3 linked regions of the Drosophila melanogaster genome follow. The protein of the gene in region 1 interacts with the protein of each later gene in a pairwise test. Each region holds a gene or a part of one and is shown on either strand. Other genes may lie near its edges.

Region 1 (3,758 bases):
TGTGTTGAATCCAAAGCCTGTGGATCAACAAGGATCAGTGGAGATGTCTTGGTTTATCAGTTCCAAAATACTGATGCGCTGCTTTAATCATTTAAATATGTATAAAATCATACGATTGGATTTTAGCCTGCTCGATGCAGCTTAAATATTACTTGGCTTGACTACCAAAAGTACATATTAAGGTGTACATTAAAGCACAACCCAAATCTAGATTACTCCTTCCATCAAAGTAAATCGCTGAAATCCAAATAATCCAGGCGAAACCTATTGTTGTTCTTTAATTGGGTTAATTGCAACCACTGCAGGCCACTTTGCCCCGCGAAAAAGTGTGCCATATGCAACACACACTTTTGCACCGAAAGTTGGCCCATAAATTTAATTTGATTTCATTGTTTGTTTTAATTTACAACGATTTTTTTTATTGGACACTTGAAAGGGGCGAAAAAACTTTGCCATTTGGCCAGCGGCAAATTGGAGGCTAAAAAGCTGTTGCTCCTGTTGATTTTCCTGCCGTGTGGGATGCACTTTTTAGGGGCAAATAAAGAACTGCAGGACCAGCATTTTAAACCCTCCTCCCAAAATTCTGCGAGTGCGCAATTGCCAGTTTAAGGTGGTTCAACGGGTGCAATGGCTGGTGATGCAAAAATTGCGCGCATTTTAGTCCATTTTTTCTATGCTTCGCCAAACAAATGATGGGGGCAACAGGTGTACTAGTGAAACAAACTTATTCCCCTGGTGGAGCTTCCTCTGCGGGAGCTTCTGCTGCGTGAGGATGTTCTTCAGCCACTGCAGGGACTTCAGGCGCAGCAGTAGCCTCTTGGGCAGGAGGAGCCACTTCAGGAGCGGGAGCAGTTTCGCCTGGCTCCCCAGCAGCAGCGTCACCCTCTTCGGACTCGTCATCTTGAGCTGGTGGCGGTGGAGCTTCATGAACACTTCGGTCTGACTCCGCATCTGAGCCCCCAGACTCGCCTACGCCTTCCTCCTCCAGGTCGTGCAGGTCCTCCTTGGACTCCTGCTCCTCAGCCTCCGGTTGGATTTCCTCGTAGACAATAACTTCCTTCCACAAAATCTCCTCGTCCACACAGACTGGCTCCTCGTCATGAGGTTCTACGCGCTTATTAAGGTCCAGATCCGAAATACCGGGCTGAGATCTTTCGAAGCCTCCACAGGTGACACAGGAAGACGATGAGAGCAGCATTGAGGAATGCGGGGATGTGGTGGACAAGGGTGCACTGCTGCTCTGCGTTTTCTTGACTCCCGGCTGCGCGGCCCGCGCACTTGGCTTCGGAGCATAGGTCATGGTGGTCTGCTGCGATTTGTCCTGGATAGCCACATCCGGTCGCTGCTGGCACTGGTTGCTGATTTCCGGCATCTTTGGATTGCTGCGCACCAGGTAATCGGAAACACGCACCTTCCAGTTCTCCTGGCTGCAGTCGGTGTTCTGCATTATGTCGTAGATCTCCTCGAGCAGCGGCTTAAGCATCGGCCTGTTGCAGAAGTTGTTGTGGTCGAACATTTGATGGGGCTCGTGAATATCTGAAAAATTCGATATATTATTTTTTACTTTATTAATCTCTGTATCGCTACTTACAGTTGGGAAAAATAAAGTTTATCTCACGAGCCACGCTGTAACTGTTCTTGGTGACATGGATATTGCGTTCCAGATCCGATGCCGAACCACTTAAAGTCAAATTGTACCTAGAGAACTTATTATTTTATTTTAAAAGCAAACTCACAAATAACAAATCATGATGTTGAGCAGCTCCTGCACGGCGTTTTCCTTCGTAACTATGAACGCCTCGGAAACACCCTTCGAAAGCAGAATGACCTCCAGCATAAACCCCTTTTCATCGGCATAATCGGCATAGAACTCGGCGGCAGTTTCTGGCGAAAAGGCAATCCGTCGATTACCCTGAATCTGGAAGCCCTCGGCCAGCAACTTTAAGAGCACCGGACGCCGCTTGTGCAGATAGTCCGGCTTAATGATAAACAGGGAGTTCTCAAACATGTCGGCTAGAAAATATATACTATTCCAAGGGGAATTGGGAATTTTCAATAATGTGCTACTATGTCGGTTTAAGTTTTCTGTATGATTTATAAGATCAATGTTCGTATTTTACACAGTTTTGCTTGATATCTTAAACTACACACACTGCTCAAATGACTTCGGACACATGGGGATATCGATACAAAGTTTGCGGCTCGTGAATTTCGCTAATTTTTATGTTGAAATTACGATAAGGGTACTGCTTAGTGTAAGTGTTAGTTTAGTTAAGTTTAACTTTTTTCAGCCGGCGTTTGAGTGCGTTTATAAATTCAGTTTCATCACAAATTCACCTAACAAATTTAGAGCCAAAAACCGGGGTACAAAACGAAAAGTAAGTAATTATGTTTCATTTACAGTAAATCGTTATAGAATGTAAACAGATATATGTAAAGGTATATGCATATATAAAGCGTGGGATCGGGTCCCTTCTCCTTCAAATCCTCCGCGCCTGGTTCGTACATCACAACGCATCACTTAGGCTGTTGAAGATAGTAAATTAGTAAATGTATTGTTTGGGTCCTTCAACCTATAGCTTACCTGAAATTCTAGCAAAGGCCAGCGAAGACTTCTCGCTTTCGAAACACTTGCCAATCTCGGCGCAAATATGCGACTGATCAATATAGGGTCGTTTGGCCAAGTTCTTAATGCTACTGCCATAGATGGAGATCATCTCAGAGCACTGCAACGCAAAGGAACTTATAGATATTTATAACATTCAGGATTGTAAGTTACATACGATCTTGTAGTACTTGGCTGGCAAGTTCTCGCATCCCACCGATGTCATCTGTAGGGCTGTCACTTCGGATACGTTATCTTTCTTCTCGCGCAGGAAGGGCAACAGAGCCTGGGTGACTCCATGGCACACACCACACTCCAAAACTTCATCGGTGACGGCCACGCTGAAGCAGAGCTGCAGTTTCTGGCACACCTGCTTGGGCGGCACATCGCTCAGCAATTTCAGGACCGCAGAGGCATATCCATCGACGAAGGTGTCGCACTGTTTGCGCACCGTGGCTGGCAGGCGATTGCACACGGCTTCAATCGCTCGCTTAATGTCGTCCTGTTCGGTCTTATTCTTTAGATCGGCATCCAACTTGGTCATGATAAATTCGCAAAGGACGCAGGTGGGCGGCTCCTTGATGCTGCTAGACAGCTTGTTGTCCTGGCGCGGCAGAGCAATCACGTCGTACTTCAAAGCCTCATCCACTTCGACTGTATTACGAAAATGAAATTCATTAGTTTAAACGTATACTTAACGTAGCTCTAGAATTTAATACTCACGATCATCCAGATCAGCCAGGATGCACATTCCCAACTCCGTGCAGATAAGCTTGGGATCCATTTCCTTTAACAGCAGATCGGCGATCTTATCGCCGTACTTGTCGATAACCTTGTGGCATTTAGTGTTCATTGGCTTCCTCATTCGGTCGCAAGACTCCTCCAGGATATGCTTGATGCTGTCTCTGGTGGGGTGCTTGCCCATACGCTTCTCCAAGGTCTTAACCAACTCCTCGCAGATCAGGCAGTTCGGAGCAGCGGTGAATCCTGGGTCGAAGGCCAGCTGAGGGGGCAGCTCCTCAAGGGACTCAATGTCATTGAAGCTGATTTCCTCACTGCTGGATTTGTCCTCACCATCGACATCGTCCTCCAGCGAGATGCGCAAGTCCCAGAGAGCGTAAGTGGTCTTTGGGCAGAGCTTCAGTTGGACGCA
Region 2 (3,758 bases), on another chromosome or scaffold:
CTTCGCAGCTGGGTGGTCAGGATGTGGTGCAAGGCCAGTCGATTGGTCATGGTCACGCTGTTTGTGGCTAAATGGTTATTTGCTAATTTCGAATTTAGATTGCGAATTTTGACTGCCAAAGTGGTCGAAAATTGTGGAATTTATTTTATATATTTTTTTTTATGAACGATGCCTCATTTTAGGATTTTAGAAAATAGTTCTGATATAATTTGGATTTATTCAGCCAAGGCAAGGGTGATCTCGAAATATGGTTTTGCAATCGATTTATTCATTTTTACACTTTATTTTTTATTAGTTTATTATTGTTTAAATAAGAAGAACGCAGCATATGATTCGTTTGCTTAAATAATTTAAAATACATATATAACTTCGCCGCATGCAATTATGAATTGGCTAAATTGATTTAGATTGATTTAGATTTACTACATCAGAGATCGATCTACAGGTGACTATTGATGTTCTTCCGGGCCAATTGGGCATAGATGGTGCCATGTGGCTTGTCCACTGGGATGAAAACTTCATTGTTGTCGCCGGGTGCAATCTTCTGGAAGGGCTTCGTATCGAAGTTGAAGTAGTGCTTGTTTGGCATGGTCATCGAAATGACCGACACCTGCGGCAGGACATCCAGGACCTGTCTTTCACTCAGATACAGGGTGTGCTGAACGGAGGGCGAGGACACGCCCACCTGCGGATCGCCAGCAAAGTTACGAATGATTATGTTTTTGACCGTTTGCCAGGCCCTGAGGAAGTCCAAGTTCTCGGTATCGGAGTACTCCCAGGAGCAATCCACCACGGTGCTAAAGATGCGATCATACTGATCTGGCAGAGATCTGAACTCATCGTTCACGAAGTTCACGAACGAGGATTGGGTCGTCTTCAGCACCCGGAGACCCTTGATGCCCGTGATGACCGTTTGTTTGGGATCTAAAACAGTAAAGGAGGTGATAATTTAGTAGTTTTAAATATTATTGCTTTAGTTATGTTTGACTTAACCTGTTCTCCTTATAACCACATCGCAGTAGTGAAGAGCGGTGGGCGTGAATATAAAAGCGTGATTGTGCAGTGATCTGTTGTCAATGGAGCTGAAGTCGCAGTTCCCTTGGACTCCGTTCTCGCACTTCCCATTGACGTTGGTCCTGGTCTCCTCCTGGCAAACTCGCTGCCAGGGATACGCCTCCACATGAACGTGCGCCTCCTCCACGTGCGAGTATTTGTTAATAAAGTGCCTGGCCAGGAGCAGAGCAAACTTCTCGGGACTTTCAATGCCATGCTTTTTCGCCAGCAAATAGACGGTGTTCTTCTGCGAATCGGTGGCCACGATGTCCGAGTTGTTGCCCTGGTAGTAATCCTTTTTGCTGTACAACTTCAGGTGAGTGCCCACCTCGAATTCCTGGATGGCGTGCACGGGTCCGTTGCGGCTGACATGCAGCACCTTGACCGCATCCTTGCCGTATCCGTGATCGGTAATCTCGTACTGATACGGCTTACCATGCTCATCCATGCCGGCGGAATTCTTTGGGGTCTGGTGGTTAGCCGCAGCTGGCTGTCTGAGGGGCGTGGCAAACATTGTGACTGCAATCACTCTCACTTTGATACTGATGATGCCATCAATTTCCTTGCCGCCTTTTATATCAGAACACCTGGATAACAACACAAATCTTTGTGTAGTTAGGGATTTTTTTTAGCGCATTTCGTAGAAAGCAAGTGGCTGGGAAATCGTATATCATCACTCTCACTTAGAGTATTAAAGGTCTAACTCAAATTACGACTAGTAGCGCTGATAATCGCGGCCTGGTGCCAAGTAAACATGACCAAGACTCAAGGCTATGTTTTCTATCTCCAAAACTTTGCATCTTGTTTACTTCACACTCATCTAACCAAATCCTTATTTTTGCAATATTACGTAGGAGATAAGTCGCAAATGCCGTTTTAACCATTAGCATCACTTTCGGGGGTAAATGAAAATTGGTAAATAATTTTTACAGATCACATCTCTGAATTTTATTCTTTTTTAAAATCTTAATTTCTCTCTTATTCACGCACGAGTCACTATTATTATTAAAACCTTGAAAATGTGTGCGTTGAAAAGATACATTTATTATTTCACAACATTGGAAAATAACAATTATTTCACCATAGAAAAAAAATATTAATTTACGTCTTAAATTTGATGTGACACTTTTGTTTATTAAATTTTAGGAGACCATTTTTAATATCCTTGATAATGGTCTTAAAAAATACACATGTTTAAGTTGAGTTTCTGGAATAATCTAATGTGACAGAATGTGTTCAGATGGATTCGACTGATCAAAAGTTTAGATATATAATTTATAGAATCGGAAACGCTTTACTTTACCAGTTACATACTGTTCAGTAAGCCTAGTATACCCTTTTAGTAAAGGGAATAAAAGGTTGGCATAGCAACTGCAGATCTGAAAGAGTGCAATTTGTAATAAAATGAAAGCTGTATTTGCAAAGAGTTTATCATTTCCGTGTGAGTCTAAACTTTTTATAAACCATTATTCTATTAAAAAACAAAACAATTTTATTATGTAGTGGGTCATAAGTACGTGTGAGCCAATCTACATATGTATATCAAAATATTTATTAACTAACCTATAAAATATAGAATGGTTTTTTCAAATACTCATAAACAGTAAATGACAATACACATATAGATACTATTATATATCACTATAAGATAGGGCGTTTAGTCTCGATTTATTAGCTGGAGGATTTAAACATACCACTTCAGCTTAGTGTTAAGTCAGTTTTATTATATGGATATAGAAAATGTCAGATGTTCTCTGCTATCTTGTGGTGGTCAAATTGCTCAGCAGCCAAATAATCTACTCTCTGCATAAAATTTCTATCTACAGAAGCTGTGGCTTAGTGCTAATCCAGTTTAATCTCATACATACTCTGGGTGAAGATATTTCAAAAGATATGTGCGCGCTTTTTTAAGATATACATTTGACATATATTTGTTTAACACGGTTTTTAGGAGCGTGCCTTGTATGCATAATGGTCTCCCACGATCCGAAATAGCTATATTCATATGTTTGTTGGCAAGTTATGTAAGTTCCGTTTTTGGTTATTGGCTTAAGATAAACTCTATGTTGGAATTGAAGTGTCATTGTTTGTTAAGCGAGAGTTTTATTTAGCAAAGATAATAATATTCGTGTTTATATAAAGGTTTTGATTTCACGGTTAAGTAAATTTGATAATAAAGTTTACTTTCGCATAAGCACGCGTCATAAAGTTATTTGGCTTAGTTTATGCATTATATTGTAGTACTCTACTGATATGATAAACTATATGATCTTGAAGATGATGATATGATTGTAAACGAGTAGAGAACCCCTGCCACATGAATCATCCCCAAAAGATGTACCGCCTGGAATTTAATCTAATGGATTGGTAGTTTTATGAAGCTTTTGGCACCTCGAAAACATGTTGTCCGCCCCAAAGTTTTGCGTGCGGTTCAGTGAACTAAAGTGCGAGTTATGAATGAGAGAGTCTTAGACAAGTGAATGCTTTTGTTGTCGACTCCACAAACAAAAGTGCAAATTGTTTTCCAGTGAAACCTGCGACGCACCCATGTAAAATATTATTTTTTGGCAGGCAAACATCGATGTCTCGTGAACCGCAACGAGTTAGTTGCGTCTTTGAGCGCGTTACCAGCGGACGAACAACGACATGGAGCTGCCAATAGTCCTTCTCTTGGTACTGAGTGTCATTCCATTTGAAGCCCAGGG
Region 3 (3,758 bases), on another chromosome or scaffold:
ATAGTGATGATCCTAAAATCATCGATAGTCTAAATTAAACATCGATGTTTCGGAAAATTTAAAAAACATCGCTGATAAAACGTGATATTTAGTTTTGAACTGAAGAGGTTTTATTAATAACTTTAAACCAGTAGTAGTAATTTTCGGAACAGAATAGCGCTTATGCAATCCACTGTTAGGTGTACAGTGCAAAGGGAATGTCATTTCTAGTTAATATGATCGGAACTATCAACTTAACAAAGCATCGTTCTACAGTTGGCTTGGGAAGGAAAGCTTATTAACGCATATGTGGAAAACACGGAATTTCTTCTTAACAGGATAACCAAAAAAAAAACCATTTTATTTCAACTACACCTATAGCAGACCACACAGCAGAAATAGCAAGTTTTATTAAGAAAAGAAAACATATATATATTTTTTTTAATCGTTTATAAAAAACAATGTCAATCATATGTAATAGAGTTTTGTAAATCAGGACGGATTATTACGCTTGTTGGATCGTAATCGCGCTAGTCCAGTGCGTTCTTCTTCCTCATCGCTTGTGTACTGATTAATGCTGGTTCCACTTGCACTTCCTACTCGTGCTGAAGACGTTGCCTGCATGAGCTCTTGGTCTGGTGCATTGCGGTTTTCATAAAGCAAGACTTGTAGCGTTTCTTCGTATATACGAGCTTCCGGAAATTCAACTTTAGTATGCTTTCTGTCAGTTGCATAAACTATTGAAGTGCAACACACTTCAGCTACTTTTTTTCCGTGTCCGTAAAATGACCAGCAGCAGATTTCACTTGGCCCAATTACGTCTTTAATAAACAAAATTCGTTCGTTAAAGCGCAAAGAAAGCTTATCAAATAATTCAATATTTTTTAATAAGTTGTCGTCTGATGTACTTGTGTACGAATACTTGTTATTCTGCCGCTGAACCACAAGAATAACAGCCGGCTTTAAAGAAACACTTAATAAAAGCTGCTCTTCCTTTTGTGAAGTTATAAGTGGAATGCGGCAAATTGGCTTTGGCTCCTGATGAGCATATAGTGCCCGTTCACAAGAAATAGCTAACTCGGTAATGCAGTAGTATTTGGCTTCGGCAAGCAATTCTGCAATTTCCTTGTTAGTTTCTGGTAATGGAACAGTGCCATCTCTTAAATAATTAAGAATGATACCAAAATGATTTCCACAGCGATCGATTAAAATCCATCCTAGAATTTTGTATATTAATATTATTCCGTATAAGAACATGTAACAAACCTTCCGAATCAGTCAGCACTTCCATTCTACCACTAAACATTGCGCTCAGCATTGTGTCATTGTTTTTCGTCAGTGTTCCAATTGTGGTATAATATAAATGACCACCAACATTAAGTTTTAAATATTGGGAGGAATGTCCTTTTAATAAAATTTTGTGATCACCTGACATTGATTCCGACATTTATACTTTTTGTTCTCTAGCTTTCGGGGTTCAGCTACTGCATTCAGATAACTTGCTTAGTCGGTCATAGTTCTCATGCGTTTATGCAAATTCGGCGAAATAGTGATTAGCAATTTAAAATTGTATTTTGACTTCAATGTATTGTATTAAAGGTATATTTAATGTATGTATTTATTGTTTTGGACAGCTCAAAAATTTGAGAAAATATCGATATGGAAACGACCCATCGATTTCAATTTATATTTTAAGGGCCTGTTTGGACAAGAGTGGGTCTATACCACATGGTATACCATAGAACAACGTGATTTTAAATATGCATACCGTCCACAGTTTTGCTGAAAATTAGAATGCTCCTGTTAGATAACACAACAACTATACAAGAGAGGGACTGTCGCTAAAATATTGAAATCTTAACAATGCCAAATTTTAGCGCTATTTTTTCTAGTTATAATCAAATTTTCAAAAGTTGCCATATTAAAGTAATTTTGAGTGAATCAGAATATATTCATTATCTAATAGCTATTTATTTTATTTATTTTATGTTGCATACCTGAGATTACAAGTAAGATATCAGCTCAGCGCATCTGATAACGTGAAACTCAATTTTATTAAAATAAAAGTTGTATGTATATATAACCGCCCCATGTGCGATTAATTACAATACATATAAGTTATCCCACCCGTAAATATAGCACCCTGCTCTGTTGATAAACAAATTTCATACCCCGATCTCAGCAGCATTTCCTTTGTTTTTGTTTTTGTCGCCAGCACTTAACCATCCGATAAATGACCAAACTTAACGTAAACACCAGTCAGCAAATTTCAATTTCATAATGCTGTGAAATAATTTCAGTATAAAGTTCAAGAGAATTCTAAATAAAAGCTTCTGGCCGAGGTTGAGTGGATTAGGATTAAGATTTAAAAATCAGACTGAATCGGGACGATTAATTAGCGCCCAACGTATAGCGGTGTAGTTCAAAAGTTCTAAAAAAATATTAACAATAATAAGTTAAATATAAAACGAAACTCGCGCCGCTAACCACTCACATTCTTAAAACATCCACATTAATCCAACGACATCTAACTACTGTGGCAGTGATCGTGGAAAAACTTAATTGGAAATTATAAATGCAATAATCCAACTAAGAATATTATATTTAAAAATGTGGACTAAATTCTTAATACAAACTACGAGAACACAAGAATAATAATAATCAGACTCAGCAAGAAAGACAATTGAAACAAAAAGCCAAAAACTATTACCGAAAATATCCCAAAAATAAAAAAATCAACAAGAAGAAAGGATGACCTGATGGTAATCCCCCGCCCCAGCTAAATACAAACAATTGACAGTAAATAATCAGGACAATTAACCTAAAGGACCTAATAAGACTCCAACAAAATGTATCGTGACCAGAAATTAATATTAAGTCTTTAAAAGAAATTAATAAAATTAGAGAAAGCTATAAGGAATACCATAGAGTTTTAAAATTAAACATTTCAACATCAAATGTATCAATTAATTAAAGAAAACAATCTGGAAAATTTAATAGTTTTGAAAATTAAATTTAATAATGGTAACCGGAGGTTCAGCACCAACCAGCGCCATGAATCTGAAAATGGAATTAATTACCCGATTAAAAAATGTACAATTGGGAGAAGTGACCAAAAAAATTGAAGGGACAGAAGGGCAGTTAAACGCTAGCAGAAATGTAGTAGAGTTTATAAAATGCAAACAATTGACCCAACTATAAAGTGCGACACTACCGCTTAGGTAATTAAATCTTTACCAAAGTTGAGAGTTCTAGGCAAGTAAGAAGCGGCAGAAACTGTCATGGGTCTATATAAAATTCGAAGTGAACAATATCTTATCTGTTTACCAATACTACGTTATAAAATCATGGGAGCAACACATGATGCTCTAACTAACCATGATACAGTTTTAAACTTTAACGCAATTCTTTCCAGATTGGATTTTGTTTATAAAGATTAAAGGCCAATCCATATTCTCGAATCTGAATTATGCATCCTTAGACAGGGGCGCTAAAGCATTACAGAATTCTACAACAAAGTTAACAAGAAAATTGCTTTACTCATAACAAAAATTTTAATGACATATGCAAATGACAGAGAAATAACCAAGGAAATGAATAGAACAATTAGGAGTAACGCTCTTAGAATTCTTAATTCCTTATTTTACTCTTTTCTCTAAACCTACTAGACTTGCCAAATGTTTTGGCAAAGTGTCAGAATAAGAAACTAACATCATCTAAACATCAAATAGAATGAATAATAATTGGAATAATAATCAGAACCATAATCAGAATATTAA

What was found.
Region 2: the proteins of CG15547 (region 1) and Uro interact in a two-hybrid assay, tested with the Drosophila melanogaster proteins (one large-scale study listed by BioGRID).
Region 3: the proteins of CG15547 (region 1) and CG10465 interact in a two-hybrid assay, tested with the Drosophila melanogaster proteins (one large-scale study listed by BioGRID).

What each region holds. Positions count from the first base shown.
Region 1 is NT_033777.3:30,881,392-30,885,149, forward strand, and holds CG15547 (uncharacterized protein), read right to left. Parts: upstream 2,113-3,758; 5' UTR 2,009-2,112; coding exon 1,737-2,008; intron 1,681-1,736; coding exon 1,592-1,680; intron 1,537-1,591; coding exon 725-1,536; 3' UTR 401-724; downstream 1-400. Other genes in the region: Sap-r (Saposin-related), read right to left, coding at 2,522-2,526, 2,585-2,726, 2,784-3,259, 3,329-3,758.
Region 2 is NT_033779.5:7,777,927-7,781,684, reverse strand, and holds Uro (urate oxidase), read right to left. Parts: upstream 1,601-3,758; 5' UTR 1,568-1,600; coding exon 994-1,567; intron 925-993; coding exon 440-924; 3' UTR 270-439; downstream 1-269. Other genes in the region: CG7164 (uncharacterized protein), read right to left, coding at 1-50; CG7179 (uncharacterized protein), read left to right, coding at 3,700-3,758. UniProt on the Drosophila melanogaster protein: Catalyzes the oxidation of uric acid to 5-hydroxyisourate, which is further processed to form (S)-allantoin.
Region 3 is NT_033778.4:5,339,317-5,343,074, forward strand, and holds CG10465 (uncharacterized protein), read right to left. Parts: upstream 1,680-3,758; 5' UTR 1,427-1,679; coding exon 1,246-1,426; intron 1,197-1,245; coding exon 472-1,196; 3' UTR 390-471; downstream 1-389.